Struthio camelus: one gene and its partner. The protein of the gene in region 2 interacts with the protein of the main gene of each other region in a biochemical or structural test. Links are inferred from orthologs where the notes say so. Each region holds a gene or a part of one and is shown on either strand. Other genes may lie near its edges.

What was found.
Region 1: the proteins of DLG3 (region 2) and GDA form a complex in vitro, tested with the Homo sapiens proteins (2 studies listed by BioGRID and IntAct, with this or other methods). The link is inferred for Struthio camelus from reciprocal best matches to the Homo sapiens genes DLG3 and GDA.

The regions. Positions count from the first base shown.
Region 1 is NC_090982.1:26,799,413-26,806,723, forward strand, and holds the start of GDA (guanine deaminase), read left to right. Parts: upstream 1-4,306; 5' UTR 4,307-4,457; coding exon 4,458-4,580; intron 4,581-7,311. UniProt on the Homo sapiens protein: Catalyzes the hydrolytic deamination of guanine, producing xanthine and ammonia.
Region 2 is NC_090952.1:25,433,991-25,441,685, forward strand, and holds the start of DLG3 (disks large homolog 3), read left to right. Parts: upstream 1-4,678; 5' UTR 4,679-4,740; coding exon 4,741-5,082; intron 5,083-7,695. Other genes in the region: disks large homolog 1-like, read left to right, coding at 349-360. UniProt on the Homo sapiens protein: Required for learning most likely through its role in synaptic plasticity following NMDA receptor signaling.

The DNA of each region.
Region 1 (7,311 bases), on a different chromosome or scaffold from region 2:
TTTATTCTGCTTTTCTCTGTGAGTAGATATAAACCATGCTGCCCTTTATTTCATTCTCTGAACAGCCCCAAGTATTTCCTACCTACTTAGTGCTTTCATTTTCAGATAAAAATCAATCAATAAAAGAGAAATCAATTTTATTTTGTTTCTCCATTGGCTTAGTTGCTATGTTACAAAATATTCACAAGGAATACTTTGGTAATCAAATGCAAATAACAACATTAACTTCTATATCAGATCAATAATTTTTGTACCCTGAGGCTCAGGCTCTGCTGGCATGTATTTTATCAGTGTCCTGAAGATAGGAGCTTCCACTGGGTGGCATGTACCTATTAATTGTTTTTTGAAAGCAGGGAATTAAAAATAGGTTCCTCTTTCTTACATTTCTCACGTATTACTAGATGAACAGAGTTGCTCCAAAACTTTGAAAACAAGGCATTGAATTCTTGTTTTGTAAAGTCCACCAAATGAAAGAAAATATCAAAAAGTGGAACAGTTAATGAGAATTTAGGGTGACATTCTAATCCTGCTAAAATCTATTCTGATGCTCTAAAAATACTTTGACTAAATTTTCTATTGTTGCTCAGCTTCAGAACTCAGACTAGACCTGATTTTCACTTAACTTCTAAAACTGAGTCAAAAGACAACGAAATAGACTTTTTTTTTTGAACAGCAGTGGGTCAAAGTATGGTGATTATTTACTTTAATATGAACATGTTAATCCAGGTGCGATGAGTTCAAAGAGCTGCTAAAGCTGGGATTTGTTTTAAATTGCTAGTCAAACAAAACCTTCTTAAGGAATTTGTAAGAAGCTATATCTTTCACTGTAGACCATTAACCATTTAGCAAAATTAAGAGCAGGCTATTACAATTACTTTTTAAGTTAAATAGTAACCAACAATCATCATAAACCATTCAATTTCTACCCCAGACAAACCAAGCACACCTTTGAGCAGTCCTCTTATAGTATCATGGAAGATTGACCCATTTTATCACAGCTGGTTGAGGTCTCATCTGCAGCCATCCCAATATTTTGGGTATGCAGCTGTGAGCTTCACAAGCTAATAACGAAAAAAGGTCTGCGAGGAGGGAAAGGGTTTTAACTGTTCTTTCATCAGCCCTCTTAAGAGTCTCACATGCTCTCTCACAGCTGGGAAAAGCAGAAGAGAAGTCTAGTTCTTTTAACAGTTCAATTATATGTCTTCATAGTGTTTGGAATCCACTTATAGCAATAGATTGACAATTAACAGTTTTTATTATTCATATTTCTTCCAAAAAGTTCTAAAGGAAGAAACTTTCACTGTTTCTGGATTTTTTTCTCATGCATAAAATACTGGTTGGATTAAATCTCACTGAAACTGTTGGAATAAGTATCAATCTTTCTGTAAGGCAGTTGAAAGAAATCCCTGAGATTCCTAATGGAAGAACATGGTTGACATAGAAATTCTCAGAGGCAGCACGCATCCCCCCACCACCTCCAAATGCAAATCAAGGGCTTCTCAGGAATAACGATTTAGCAAAAGTGTACGAGTTCTGCTGAATATTGCTTTGGCCAGCAGGCCACGTGGACCTGGGCAGCAGCCAGGACAAGACCTCAGGATGAGAAGCAAAGAGCCACACGTAGCCTGATGTGAGTGTGAATGAAGCGCAGATACCTAGGGCAGCATACTGCGGAAGACTGCATACCCTGGGGCCTCGCTACCTCCTTTGCCCTGGGAGCTGAGGCTAGTTGCTGCTGCAAGGGCAGAGCCAAGCTGTGTAAAGGGCAGGAGCTATTGCTGGGGAAAGTTGTCCTCGCTCCTGTGTCGGGAGGAAGAGTGATAAGTTTACCTCTCCAGGGCTCTCTGTTTGACTGTTTTGCAGCTCCACTCCCTCTACCTTTTTGCATTTAATGGCTAAAGCAGCCTAGCTCTCGCTTCTTATTCTTAAGGCAGCCAAATACCATTTCAGCTGCCTGGGATCACAACTTGGTATATGGATAAAAAGTGGTTTCAGCTGCTGCTTTGATAAACACAGTAGTGTTACTCTGAGAAATGTCCTTATAAGAAAGCTTTCGTAAATGCTAACTTAAAAGACACTTGGTGCTATTTTTTAGGAAACTATCCAGTGTTGTTGTATTACTCTGTTGTTCAAAGAAGCATGAAGTATTACAATCTTGTAAGCAAGCTGAATTGCAAGAAAGACCCTCATGCAATTTCTTCTCCGAACTAGATTAACCTGTAAGACCAATTTGTGTTTTATTGGCTTCTCATGTCAAAGAGATTAGAAATACAGTGAAAAATTGCAGCTTCTTAAAAAAAAAAAAAACTTATTAGCATCTTCTTGAACTATGAGACCTCTCACAGGAAATGAACAATCTTAGAGTGTGAGAGTCACTTTCACCTATCCATTTTATTCTGGATATTGTTTATGGCCTGACGGAACCACTAGTGAAGTCAAGGTAAGAGCTTTCAGCTGGCTTCAGTAAATCCACTTTTTTTTTTTTTTTAATTTACTTCACGTGAACCTAGAAGTATTCTCATTCAAAGATGGCACAACAAAGGTAGATGAGGTGCACTGAGCAGACTAAAATTACCTTTGTTCTGTGCTTTCCCACTGTGTCTTTGTCTCCTCCCTCCACTTATCTGGAAAGCTTAGAGGAAAGATTATCTCCTGCTATGTTTGTATAGTGTCAGCACAGTGGGATGGGCAAAGGTCTTTTATGATAAACTATGTAATAATAAACTTGGTAATCCAGCTTTGAAAATGGCAGTACCAGAGCCTTGGATGGCAATTTTGTTTACCACTTTTCTATCTGATGAAGCAAGGTGACTTTCAGTGGCAGGACATTCATAGTGTTACCCCTGATTCTGGCTTTCTCACATTAAGAAAAGGGTTTTACTATGTCCCATGAACTCTTATCCAAATATTCTCCCTAGAAATCATCTTAGTGCATGTTCATATATTACGTAAATAACACCTAATTATAAATAATGTATATATATAATATACATTAACTTAAGTTGTTGGAGCAATTCTCTGAGTTAACAAATTTCATTCTTCTCTCCCTTTCGTTTTCCCAGGGCTTCTTTCTCCTTTGCTATAGACCCTCTCCGCTGAATGAAACAGTTGGCTGCTTTCTTCTGGTAGCTGAAGTGCTTCAGCTGGCATCGATTTTTTGCTCCTGTATCCTACTAATGTACAGCATAGGAGCAGAGGACCTAGGAGACAATCTGTGGTAAGAGAGAGATTAAGTACTGAGTACAGCAGAATGGATAGATGGGGCAGGAACTACCATCTACCTGAAACACACCTTTAATATTATAGTATTTTAAGATTAGCTCTATTCTGAAATTGTCCAATAATGTTCCAGGCGCAGGGCAACACCTGCAGTTGCAAGCCTAACCAAAGGAACCCTGTAAATGAAGCTTCTGAAGCTGGTTACAGCCTTTGGTTTGGTTGTAAAGATCAGTCACTGGATATACTAACTACTGTGAGTCATCTTATCGGGTCTGTCATCACTTCCTGGAAAAAGCCAGAGGCGCTCAGAAAGCACCGCTGATGCTGTTTCTGTAGCTGTCAGTCTTCCTAAGAACTCTCTCTTGTGAGCCTGCAGCTCCTTATTTTGTAAATGAAACACACTTATTAAAAACATCTGTTACAGGCTTGTACCTTTGTAAGAAGTCCACGGCAAGCTACCTTGCTCTGGGAAAACACACACAATCCACATTTCTGTGTATTGTGCCATGTTATTAATGTGATAACGTTATCTTTCCTGAGAAGAAAACATGCAAAAGTTCTGCTTTCAAGGGTACTGATTTCCCTTTGGAAGTTGGTTAGTTATTGCTACTTTGGCAACGCGTAGAACTAGACAGAAATGTTTTGTTTCAGTAAAATCACGTGCTTTACAAACAATAAAATTCAAGTCTCGCTTTGTTCCATTTTTGGTGTTTCCTGATGACTTCCAAGCCTGTTTCACTTCCCACTAGGCCAGAAGACATCGGGGCTGCTGGGGGGGCAAAGGGGAAAAACAAACAGGAGAACCAACCAGCCACGGTAAGGGGGAGACCAAACACCCGCGGGGGCTGCGCCAGGGCTCCGCGCCTCTCAGGGCGGCCGGCCTCATCCCGCATGTGCGTCAGCAACAGGAAGCACCGAGTTTGCCCCCTGTCCCCTGCCTGCTGGCGCTATTTGTCTGTTTTGGCAGCAGGACGGGGGTCGCCCGGCCGCCGGGGCAGAGGCCTCGGCGGGGCGGCCGCGGCTGCCGCCACCGCCTCCCCTCAGCGGGCACCCGCCCGGCGGGAGGAGCCGGCCGGCGGCGGGAACCACTCCCCGCGGGGCAAGAAGCTTTGCGGGGGGGAAGGGAAGGGGTGGGGAAATGTTGACAGGTCCAGGAAGCCGCTGTCGGTGCCGAGAGACATCGAGCGGCTGCAGCCCGCTGCGCGGCAGCTGGCAGCCTCCTCAGCGCCGGCGCCGCGATGGGCTCCTCGCAGCACCCGCCGCTGGCCCACGTCTTCAGGGGCACCTTCGTGCACTCGCGCCGCGCCGCGCCCATGGAGATCCTCCACGGCCACCTGCTGGGGGTGGACGAGAGCGGGAAAGTGAGCGGGGGCCGGCGGCGGCGGGGCCGAAAAGGGAGGGCGGGGGGAGCGGGGGCAGCGCCGCCGGCACGGCGGGGCGCCAGCCCGGGGCGGCGGCGGCGGTTTGGGGGGCGGTTGGCCGGGGCTGAGGCGCCCGGGCGAGACCGAAACGTTGGTGCCCGGCGCTCTGCCCAAAAGCGGGCACCCCGGCCGGGAAGCCCCCTTTCAGCCCGCAGCCCGCGTCCTCCGGCGGGTGGGAGGAAGGGGCCGTCCGGTTGGCGTTTGCTGCAGCCCTTGAACCGGGGCACTTCCTGGCTTAAAACACGCGGCGGCTGTAAGGGGTCTCTCGACGGGGCTTGGCGCTTGGTGGGAGTTGAGGGGTGATTGGGGCAGGGAGCCGAGAAGCTGTTCCTGAGGTGCTCTACCTTACTGTCAAAACACATTCTTCGGGCCGTAAGCCTGTCTTTCAGTTTTGCAGATTTTTTTGTTTTTCGTTCTCTGTAATAAATACCAAAGCAGTACAAAAGATTGTAAATAATTGCAGTGTGCCTTCTGTACTCGTATGCTGCCTCCGAAAGCTTCTTCTCCCCCCCCCCCCGCCTTTTTTTTTTCTCTTTATCACAAGAAAAAAAAAAAGCCATGGAGTAAGTCTGTAAAGAATCGTGAAGACCAAGGGTAACAATTTGGCTTGTTAGTGAGTGGTGTGAGCTAAGTTTAAAATGAGCATTGCATTGGTTCTGGTGGGGAAGCTACATCACGCTGGTAACAGTATCACGGTTTCGCAGGGCTCATTGTATAAAGGCAGGTGGCAATTCCCTGGAGACTCAATTTTATATGTGTATATATATATATATATAGAGAGAGAGAGAGAGAGAGCGCAAGTGCAAGCTACCGTCTCTACCCTATACGTAATCAAAATTTCTTTTTTTTCTTTTTGGTGGCTAAACAGCTATGTCAGGCTTCAGTAGCACTTGGAAGATGCATAAAGCACACTTTGAATTTTGGACCCGTTACAGTGTTTGCTTTCACCATCCACACAGGTCAGTGAGGGCCTGTTTCCAAGTGGCTCTTGACTCCGGTGGCACTTGAGGAGTCTGGTACAAAGCATTGCTAAGTCTATGGAAAGCTGTATTTTGATTTATGGGAGGCGAGTGAAACCTTACAAAGCTATATATTGGCTGATTTTTAACTAAAAAACAATGGAGCTGAATGAACAAAGGGTTTGGTTTCTGTAATTCAAGAGCAGGAGGCAGAAACTCACCCGACCCAGCTCTCTCATGGAATTTTCTGGAAAAGAATCACTGCTCTCTGCCCTTGGGAAATTAAGACCTCTACAAGATTTTCTTGGAAAACAGACGCGGTAGTAGGCTGCAGTCAGATGACTGGTGCTCTCAGTCAGCCACTCTCTCCCTTTCTCCCAGTGAACGAGGATTCACTGGATATTCTTTTCTGCATAAACTGGCACGTTCCCACAGAGTAGTTCAGAAAGTTATTTTCCAGAAAAACGTTTGGCCAAAAATAAAATCTCTACCAGAAGGGAGTAACAGGAAGCTTCTTCTGTTTTAATACAAATTCTTGTCATTTTACTGTTCCACCGCAATGAATTGTGGTACCATGTGGTCTATTACTTGTAGCTTTACCTCGTGCAGTACTTCCATTAGCATTACTGAAGAGTTAATGGCACAGGGACTTGATGGGTAGAAAATTGCTTATCTTTATTGTCCAAATATACACCAAAACTATTACTCCCAAAGAACTAAATTTAACTAGACAGGCATCGTTCTGGTGCCTCCTGTTGCTGACTCCATCACGGGGAAATATTGCGTGATTTTTTACGGGGTGAGCAGAGAGCTTTTGTGAACAGGCAGATGCTGTTCCCTAGTTATATGTCCTGGTCTCTCGTCAAAACGGTAGGAGCGTGTAATTAGCGCATGGTAACACTGCACAGTCCAGCATGGGCGTATGTGGCTGATGCAGGCCCCTGACCAAAGTGTTGGTCCTTTGTGCTTTGCCAGTAAGATGAAAAGGCAATTTTAGGAAAGGAAACCTTGTTGTCGGGTATGAGACCAAAGGTATCGGAAGTTAACAAAACCTCGGTTTTATTGAACAGTTGCAATGTGGTACTGTTCTTGAGGAATTGCTTTTAGAAAGAATAGTGTTCTTCAGAGTAAAGAAAATAGAGCCAACTGCAGAGTATGAGTTACCGTTGAAGCACTGGAATAATTAATAGAGTAAAATGTTAAGTAAATGGAACAAAAGCTGCTGCTCTTGAAGGCTGGGGAGGAGCAAGAGTTATGGACGTTAATATTGTTAAGTATTACCAAGCATAGGTGTTTGGCGTAAGCCCGGTAGGATCAGCCTGGTAGGCCCAGTGACACGTGTTGCGCTCAGTTGCAGTTATGGCTGTGCAGATGGAGGTAGCAAGGTACCAGCATCCATGCGATGTTCATTGCTTGCTCCTTTACAGTAGGTTTTTGGGCTGTTCATTTGGCAGGCATGTCTAAATCTGGACTCGTGTTCCAGTTTGGGAAATCAGAGAAGTGATGGACATCATGTCTTTAATAGCAAAATTCCTGAACTTGGTAGCTTCATTAAACGGTGGCAGCAACCCAGTGAGGCCAAAAATAGGACATCCATCATAGTCAGGGACAGAGGAGAGCTACATATTTTTGCTGGCAGCCAATAATTATGAGGTTAGAGAGGGGTGAGTAGGATGAGGGAGCACAGAGAAGGTTGAAGCATTCACTCGTGT
Region 2 (7,695 bases):
TAAAGGCCGCCCGGTCGCAGAGGCTCTGACAGCGACCAGGTTCCTCCTGCAAGACTCCAGCTCCCGCCTGGGCTAAAGGCAAGTGCAGAAAGGACCAGTGTGACGGCGCTTGTGTCACCGTCCTCTGCCTCCGAGGAGCAGGCTGCCTTCAGACCGGTCAGTCTCAAGCAGTGTTTGAAGCTGTTCATCCTCAAACACTTCTGCCCCATTCCTAGAAAAGCTGCAGATGCCACAGAGACTCCCTGAAATGGCTCAAATCCCGTCCTTCTGAGTGACCTTGAAAGGCTGCTAAGGACGAAGGCTGCACCTCTGAGCCTCTCCCTCACGCTTGCCTTCCTCTTCCCGCAGGACTCCGTGTGAGAGCGAGGAAGCGACAACAGGGGCTGAGATGCCGCAAGGCCAGATAAAACCTAGCTCTGCACCGCCCTCGGGCCGTGTAAATAGCACCGTCTCCTGGGATTTCTTGATGCATTGCTGAAATTAGCACCTGTAAAAAGAGCAGCTGCCAAAGCTGAATTTAAATAAGACGGGCAGGCTGCTGGTAGGAAGAGGATGGGATCAGCGAATGCTTGGTTGCCTTAAAAAGCTCCCCTCGGTGAAGGCATCTGTCTGGAAATGAGGACCTTGAGTGGTGCTCGATGACCAGCTAACTGGGGCAATAAGCCCACATCTGCCTGGAGGTGGCCAGACCCTGTGTCTGCCCCTCTAGACCCAGACTGGGATGTAGCAGCGGAGCCGCTTGCACCCCTCGGGCTCTGGCAGCATTGCTCCCCACAGCTGGAGATGCCGATGTCCGCGGGAGACACCTCCAGCGATGCAAGATGCAGATGCATGTAGCCAGCTGGCACTGGCCTCCGGTCGAGCACAGCCAGTCTTCTCTACGTGATAACGTGTCTCAAGCCACTCACAGTGTTAGGGAGCATCGCAAACAGGCAGCAGCAACCGGGGATGGTTTTTTCTTAATTGGGCCAGCAGATGACATGTGCAGCTTGCCGTAAACAAGTAGGAATTAAACGACTCTTGCAGCAGGGACAGCGCAGTGGAGCAAAAATGGAAGATGCAGGCTTTCAGGAAGGGAACTGCAAGCTGATACGAAGGAAGCTCGGATGAAATCCATGAGAGCTGCAGCACGTGAGGCACGAGGACAGGAGCCCTCTGTTTGCAGGTGGTGGTTAGACACTGACAATAAGAGAGTTGGGAGAAGAAACAGAAGATTTAGATCATGGAGCCCTCCCAAGATGGTGTGCTGGCAAGGGAAGGGGGGGGCGAAGGCAATGATGCTGCGCTCGAAGGCTGTCTGCAGGACTCCCAGAGCGCCTTCCTGCTGGAGGACACATTCCAGTCTGCCGCGGAGAAAAGAGATCAAAATGCTTCTCTTGACTGTTCATTCAGCTCCCTATTAAAGCATCTTTCCCCAACAGGTCTCATCCTTTGTTTTGCATAGCTAGGGTTACAAAGGTGGCATGTGCCCTTCCCCACCAAGACCAAATCAGTCTCTTCCAGGCATGGGTCTTCTGTTGACTGTGGCCCAGAGCTGGCTTTGGTGGTCATTCATAGCAGTGGAGAAGGCCCTGGACCCACTGTGGCCAGTGAGGTTCTGCACCACACAGTCCCTGTGGTTGAAAAGTGCCATTTTCTAGGGTGGGAACTGCTATTGGAAGCAGTCTTGCTGCTAGGTCAGAGCAGTAGTTAATTATCAGTATGTTATAGATTCTGGGCACCTCTATTTTTGATGATGAAGTCACTCAGGTCTCGCAGGTGTCACAGGGTGGGAGGTGGAGGGTAGCCAAGATGGGCTTTGTGTCTCTTGACTCTTGTGCAGGAGGCACTGGCCTCCTGCCTGTTTCTGCAAGGCTTCCAGCTCATGGCTCTGCTTTGGTGCGGCGACAGCCTCAGGCAGCTTCGTTAGCGTCCCAGTCCGTCCCCTCATTCCCGCTTCTGCCCTCACGGCAGCAAGATGCCCACTCTCCACAGATAACGTCCCCCAGCATCCCCCCGAAGCACAGGGATCATCAGACCCAGCCCCGCATCCTTTCTGCAGGGTCAGCACCAAGTGCTTTGGGAGGTGGCTCAAGGAGTGGTAGAAGATGTAGACATGATCCTAATTGCTTAAAGCCTGAAGTATAAATTTCTCCATTAGTTCCAATGCTGCAAGCTTTCCCTCCACACACACACACACACACACACACACACACACACACTTTTTCTTTGATTAAAATAACTTTGAAGGGGCTTGTTATCCATGTATATGTCCAATCCCTTTTTGACTTAGTAAGTTCTTGGTGTTTGCAGTGTCCTATAGCAGCAAGTTCTGCAGTGTAAAAGCCTTTTCCTACTTGCAGCCGTTGGCTTCATCTTGCTGTGTCTCCTGGCTCTTTGGGTCGGTGCTGCAGCGTGTTCGGGGTGCAGGGTGCCTGTCACCCAGTGCAGGCCTCCCGGCCTGAGCGTGCACCACCGAGAACTCCTTGGAGCAGCAGGGCTAGCAGCGTTGCTGAGAGAGACTCACCAGCAGAAAACTGGTCTGCCAGGGCTCAGACAGCATGCAGTGCTCTCAACACTGGCATGGAGGGACAGGGTTCTCTGAACTTGCCTATCTGTGAACTTGATGAGCGTCCTGAGCTTGGGAGCCAGACTATTTTCTGTGTGAACGTATCTGAGCTGCAGCACAGCCCCATGGCATCAGGCATGGAGCAGCAAATGGTTGAAATGTCCATTCTGTGTTGGAGGTCACCCACGCAGCCCCAAGGCAATGAACACCAGCCAATGCAGGAGACGAAGGACTCAGGACAGCGTGATGGGGACCTCAGTGCTTGGGGCTCCTGGGACAATGCGGGTCTCAAGGACAGGGGTCTTCTGCCCCCTCCCCTACACCCGGGAGCAACTGCTGCCCTCGACCACTTGGGAATGAACACTGCCAGAGCCCATTTGTCCACAGCAGTAAAGTACAAAAGTACTTTTGTATTGCAGTTTCAAGAGCTAAGGAAACAAGAGGCATGCAAGGGCATTTGTTTTTCTGTCACCCGCTTCCTCCTCCCAAAGCCTGGCCTCTGAGCAGGGCCGTGTTGTGCCAGCTGTTCGGAGGCCAGCAAGCAGCCTAAATCAGGATGGTTGGCCACCACGGCCTGCGGAGCGGGTGCCCACAGTACAGGCAGCAGAGGGGCAGGATAGGGGGGTTCGGAGGAGAGAAGGATGGGACTGTTGAACCAGGTAAAAGTGGAGCCACTGCAATGGCTCCACAACACCTCAGCTGCGCTGGTTGTAATGCCAGCACCTACTACTGATTTACTGTCATCCAAAAGAGGCAAAAAGTGCTAATAATGATTCATCTTTATTGGATACCTGTCTGCCAAAGGGAAGCATAGCGACCAGCGGGCTTTCTCGTGCTTCTCTCAAATCACCGTCATAGATTGCGTCGACAACCCTCGGCCTTGCCCAGTGCCTCTTCCGTGACGCAGAATGAGACTGGGCCAACCTAGCCCATGCCTCAAGCAAGATCATTCTTCTCAGCAGCAGCTAGGCCTGTATCTAGCCTAACTTTAAATACTCTACCTTCATCCCACTGTTGTTCTACGTAGTTATGTACCTTTTCCCTAAGTAATTCTTCACCTGCCCCAGCGTTCATTACAACCTTCAAGAACTAGAAGTCCAAGTTCAGGTTCTCCTGACTTGTCAAATATATTTTCTTGCACCGGCCTTTCTTTCCACCCTTTGATTTGTTTGGGTGACTTTCTTCTGAACTTCTTCCATTCTGGCACTTCTGTTGCAAGCGCTGCAGTGGGAGCAGCACCCGCGCCCTGCTCCCCCCCGCAGAGGTTTCTGCAGCGCCCCCAGCGCGCGCCCTGCTTTTGCCATCCCCTGACGGCAGTTGGTGGATGGCCCAGGTGAGGTCCTTGAGCTTCCTAGACCCTGGCTCGCAGGGCAATGGCAGTGATGCCAGGGTGCTGCATGAGCCACGTGCACAGCCCTAGCAAAGCGGAGCCAGAGCTGCTGTTGGGATGGCAACAGAGCTGCTGCTGCTGCTGCACTGGCTTTGAGCCCTGGGAAACTCATTTCATATCCTGCTGCGGATCACAGCTGATGGGAACCGAGCTCCTGCTAGCGCGCGTCGCAGAGCTGGCGGGACTGCCCGCCGCTGCGCTGGCTCCAGAGTCACAGGGACAGCCCAAGAGCGTGCCTGGGGCGCTGGGGAGCCCGCGCACCCCAACCCGGGCACGGGCATAAGGGGGCGGCTGCAGGCGAAGCCCAGAAGCGTCGGGGCGGCCCAGGATTTCTCTCCTTGCTGGGCTCCCGCAAGGGCTGCGCTGAGGCGCGGCCGGGGCCGGGGCCGGGGCCGAGCCGTCCCGGGGCTCGCAGCCTTTGGGGTCGCCGTTAAGGGTGGCGGCGAGCCACGGCGGCCCGGCGGGCGGCGCGCAGCGGGGCGGTGCGCGGAGGCTCCGCGGGAGCGGATTGGCCGCGGCGGGGAGGTCGGGGTGGAGGGGGAAGGAGGGAGGAGGATGCTCGGCTCCGCCGCAGGTGCCGCGGAGCGGAGCGGAGCGGCGGCGGCCCCGCGCAGGCAGCGGCGCCGGGACCGCGCGGCCATGCGGAGCGCGGCCCCGCGGAGGTAACCGCGCGGCCGGGCGCGCCGCGTGCGCGGGGCGGGGGCCGCGCCCGCCTTCCCCCCCCCCCCCACCCCGCGCATCCCTCCCCTCCCTCCGCGCCCGCCTCCCGCCTCGCTGCCGGCTCGATGGTGTGAGGGCAGCGATGCACAAGCACCACCACTGCTGCAAGTGCCCCGAGTGCTACGAGGTGACGCGGATGGCGGCCCTGCGGCGCATGGAGCCCCCCTCGTACGGCGAGTGGCAGCACGAGCAATACGGCTACGGCGGCTACGGCTCGCAGACGCTGCCGGCGCCGGGGGGGGCCGCGCCCGCCGCCCGCGGCAAGGCCAAGCTGGGGCCCCCCGCCCGCGACGCCGCCGCCGCCGCTGCTGCGCTCAAGCCGCCGCCGCCGCCGCCGCCGGGGAAGAGCGCGCCCAAGGTGAACGGCAGCGGCCCGGGCTGGTGGCCCGAGTGCACGTGTTCGAGCCGCGACTGGTACGAGCAGGTACGGGCCAGCGCCGGGGGGGGGGGGGGATTGCGCCGCCACCGGGCCCCCGCTCCCCGGGAGCGAGCCGCCGCGGCGCGGCCGGGATGGGCGCGGGGCGGCGGGAGCCCCGTCGAGGCGGCCGTCGCGCTGCCCTCGCCGGGCGCCGAGCCGCTGCCCGCTGAGCGCCGCCCGCTCCGCCTTGGGCGGCTGCTTTGCCCGCCGGGTCCCTGCTCCCCTCGGTGGTTACGTAACCCCTTCCCCGCTCGCTGGCGGGCGGTGTGCTTTCTGCCCCGTTGCGCTGCCTCCATCCCTTCCCACGCGCGTCCGTTTCGTCCGTGTCTTCCTTCAGGACCCATCCGCAGGCTGGGGCTCTCTCCCCCCTCTAAATGGAGGGGCCATTCTTGTTTTGAACCCACAAGCCAGCTTAGAAAATGGTTGGAGCTGTTTGCAAAGCATTAAAATGGAGGCTAGACCCTGCCTGAAAAACAATTTACCAAGCTTTAGGGAAAGGCATTTCAATTTGCTGCTTCTGACTCTTTCATTCATTATCTTCAAACCTCACATGTTTTCTTATTGATCCTTCTAATTATTATTTCAAGATGCCGTATGCAGGCAGATACACAGGCATCAACTGGAACTCTCCCCTCCTTTCCCCTCACAAAACATAACCCTCTTCTTCCCTTCCCTGTGTTTTTCTTCATTACTGTCTAAATCTGTAGCTCTGGTTGAATTAATCTGAATCGAAGCTGAAATGCTCAGATGATGTTTACAGAAAGCACCCAAAACCCCAGCCACCTTCCTATCAGCCTGTTCCTGGTTCCTGTCTGTTTATCTGCCGCCCTTTGCATCAAAATCGGTCTCGTCTCTCTCTTGCCTGCTGACTGCAAGCGTTTTTCATCTTTCCTTTGCTATCTCTTTCCTTTGCTCCATCCAGTGCATTGAGCCCTGGGAGCTGGATGGGAGCAGAGAAATCGAAGCAGGTCTGTTCCCTCATTTCCCCTCCTGCTTGCATGAAAGGACCAGCCCAGGGCTCCTGGTAAGATGATTGCAAGCAGGATGGAAGGGGAGAAATGCCAGCTGCATTACTGCCGTGGCAGGCTGGGCAGCGGAGCCTTTCATGCTTTGCAATGGTGGAAGAGAAACCATTGTCTCTTTGTGGTGCTGCCTCGGAGCCCTAGGGGTTGCGTTGGTTGGAAAGTCTAGTTGTGAATCTCTGCTCGGTCGTAGCCTTTCTGGAGGTTGAAAAAAATCAAAACCTTCGCCCGGCATCCCCAGCTGCAGCGAGGCCGATGCCTGTGTGTGAGGCTACGTGAGCGTGGTGGGCTCTGCATGTATAGTATGACGTGTGTGTGGTATGTGCACTGCCCGTATCGGAGAAGACAGGATTGCTCCCTGCTGTGTAGCAAATATGTGCAATGGGTAAAGCTTTGCAGCGAATACGTCGGCAAAGCTCCCCTTCTGCTCCGAAGGTGCAAGGTGTCGGAGCCTTTAGGAATCCATGTTCTTCACCGTCCGGTTGTGGGCAGAGGGACAAAAGGTGGTGAAATGAAAACAGCTGTGCACAGCTTGCATGGAGGCAGATTGGTTTGGCACTGGCAGCCTGGGAGATGTCATGCTCAGGGTAGAATTGGCTGGATGCTGCAGGTGCAAAGCTGATATTTTGTGCAGGAAATGAAGAGGAAGCGCCTCGGTCCTCGACAGCGTTAGGATAACAGCGAGTCTGCCATTATGCAGGACTGCCCCTTTAAATGATATACATGTCCCTGGAAGCACTTCCAACAATAGAGGTGGAAACGAATGCGCAGGCAAAGCGAGGAGGAGGAAGAGCGGGCCAAGAGGTTTCCCTGTACAAAGAGCGGAGCTGTTCACCTCTCTGGGAGCTCCTCCATCTCCCGTCAGAGCCTTTTTCTGCTCCACTTTGCATGCAAGCAGAGGAGAATATGCCCAGTGCATGTGCCGGGGCGTCCGTGTGTGCAGACGCTCTGCCATGTGAAACGTGCTCGCGGCTGCATATGGCGGTGTATGTTCCCCGACATCACACGTGCTCACACACCGCATGCAAGGCATGCCCACGCGTGCTGCCCAGCACGGCCCAGTCCCAGCATTAATGCGTGCCTCCTCCCATCTCCTGCGACCCATCTTTTCTCTCCTCATCCCGCTCCCCTTCTGTAGGACACAAATTAGCTTGCTCAGGCAATGCCAGTAATTGAGAACCCCTGATCCTGGCCATAGGGAGACAGGAAATTTCTGAGCTTGGGGTTTCTTGTTTCTCTTTGCTTTGCTTTTCTTCTCCCTTGCTCTTTCTCCCTTTCTAGATCTTCTGTTTCTCCTCCCTTGCTCTCTCATCTGTCCCCTATTTATTAGTTCATTTTCCATGCACTTGCTTTCCTTGCTGCTCTCCGTTGTTTCCTTCACCGGCTCTGTCCGGCTCCGTGCCCTGCGCTCTCCCAGGTGCCCCTCGCTGTGCTGGCGGAGACGCGAGTCCTCCCGTGCCAGGCTGGGGTGAGCAGAGGACTCCCTGCTTTGAGGGAGGAATGGCAGTGCCTTACAGGGAAGCATCCCTGAGCCGCAGCGGCGAGAGGAGCGAAGTGCTGGAAACCCCTCCTCTCGCCTGCACAGTGACGCCCACGG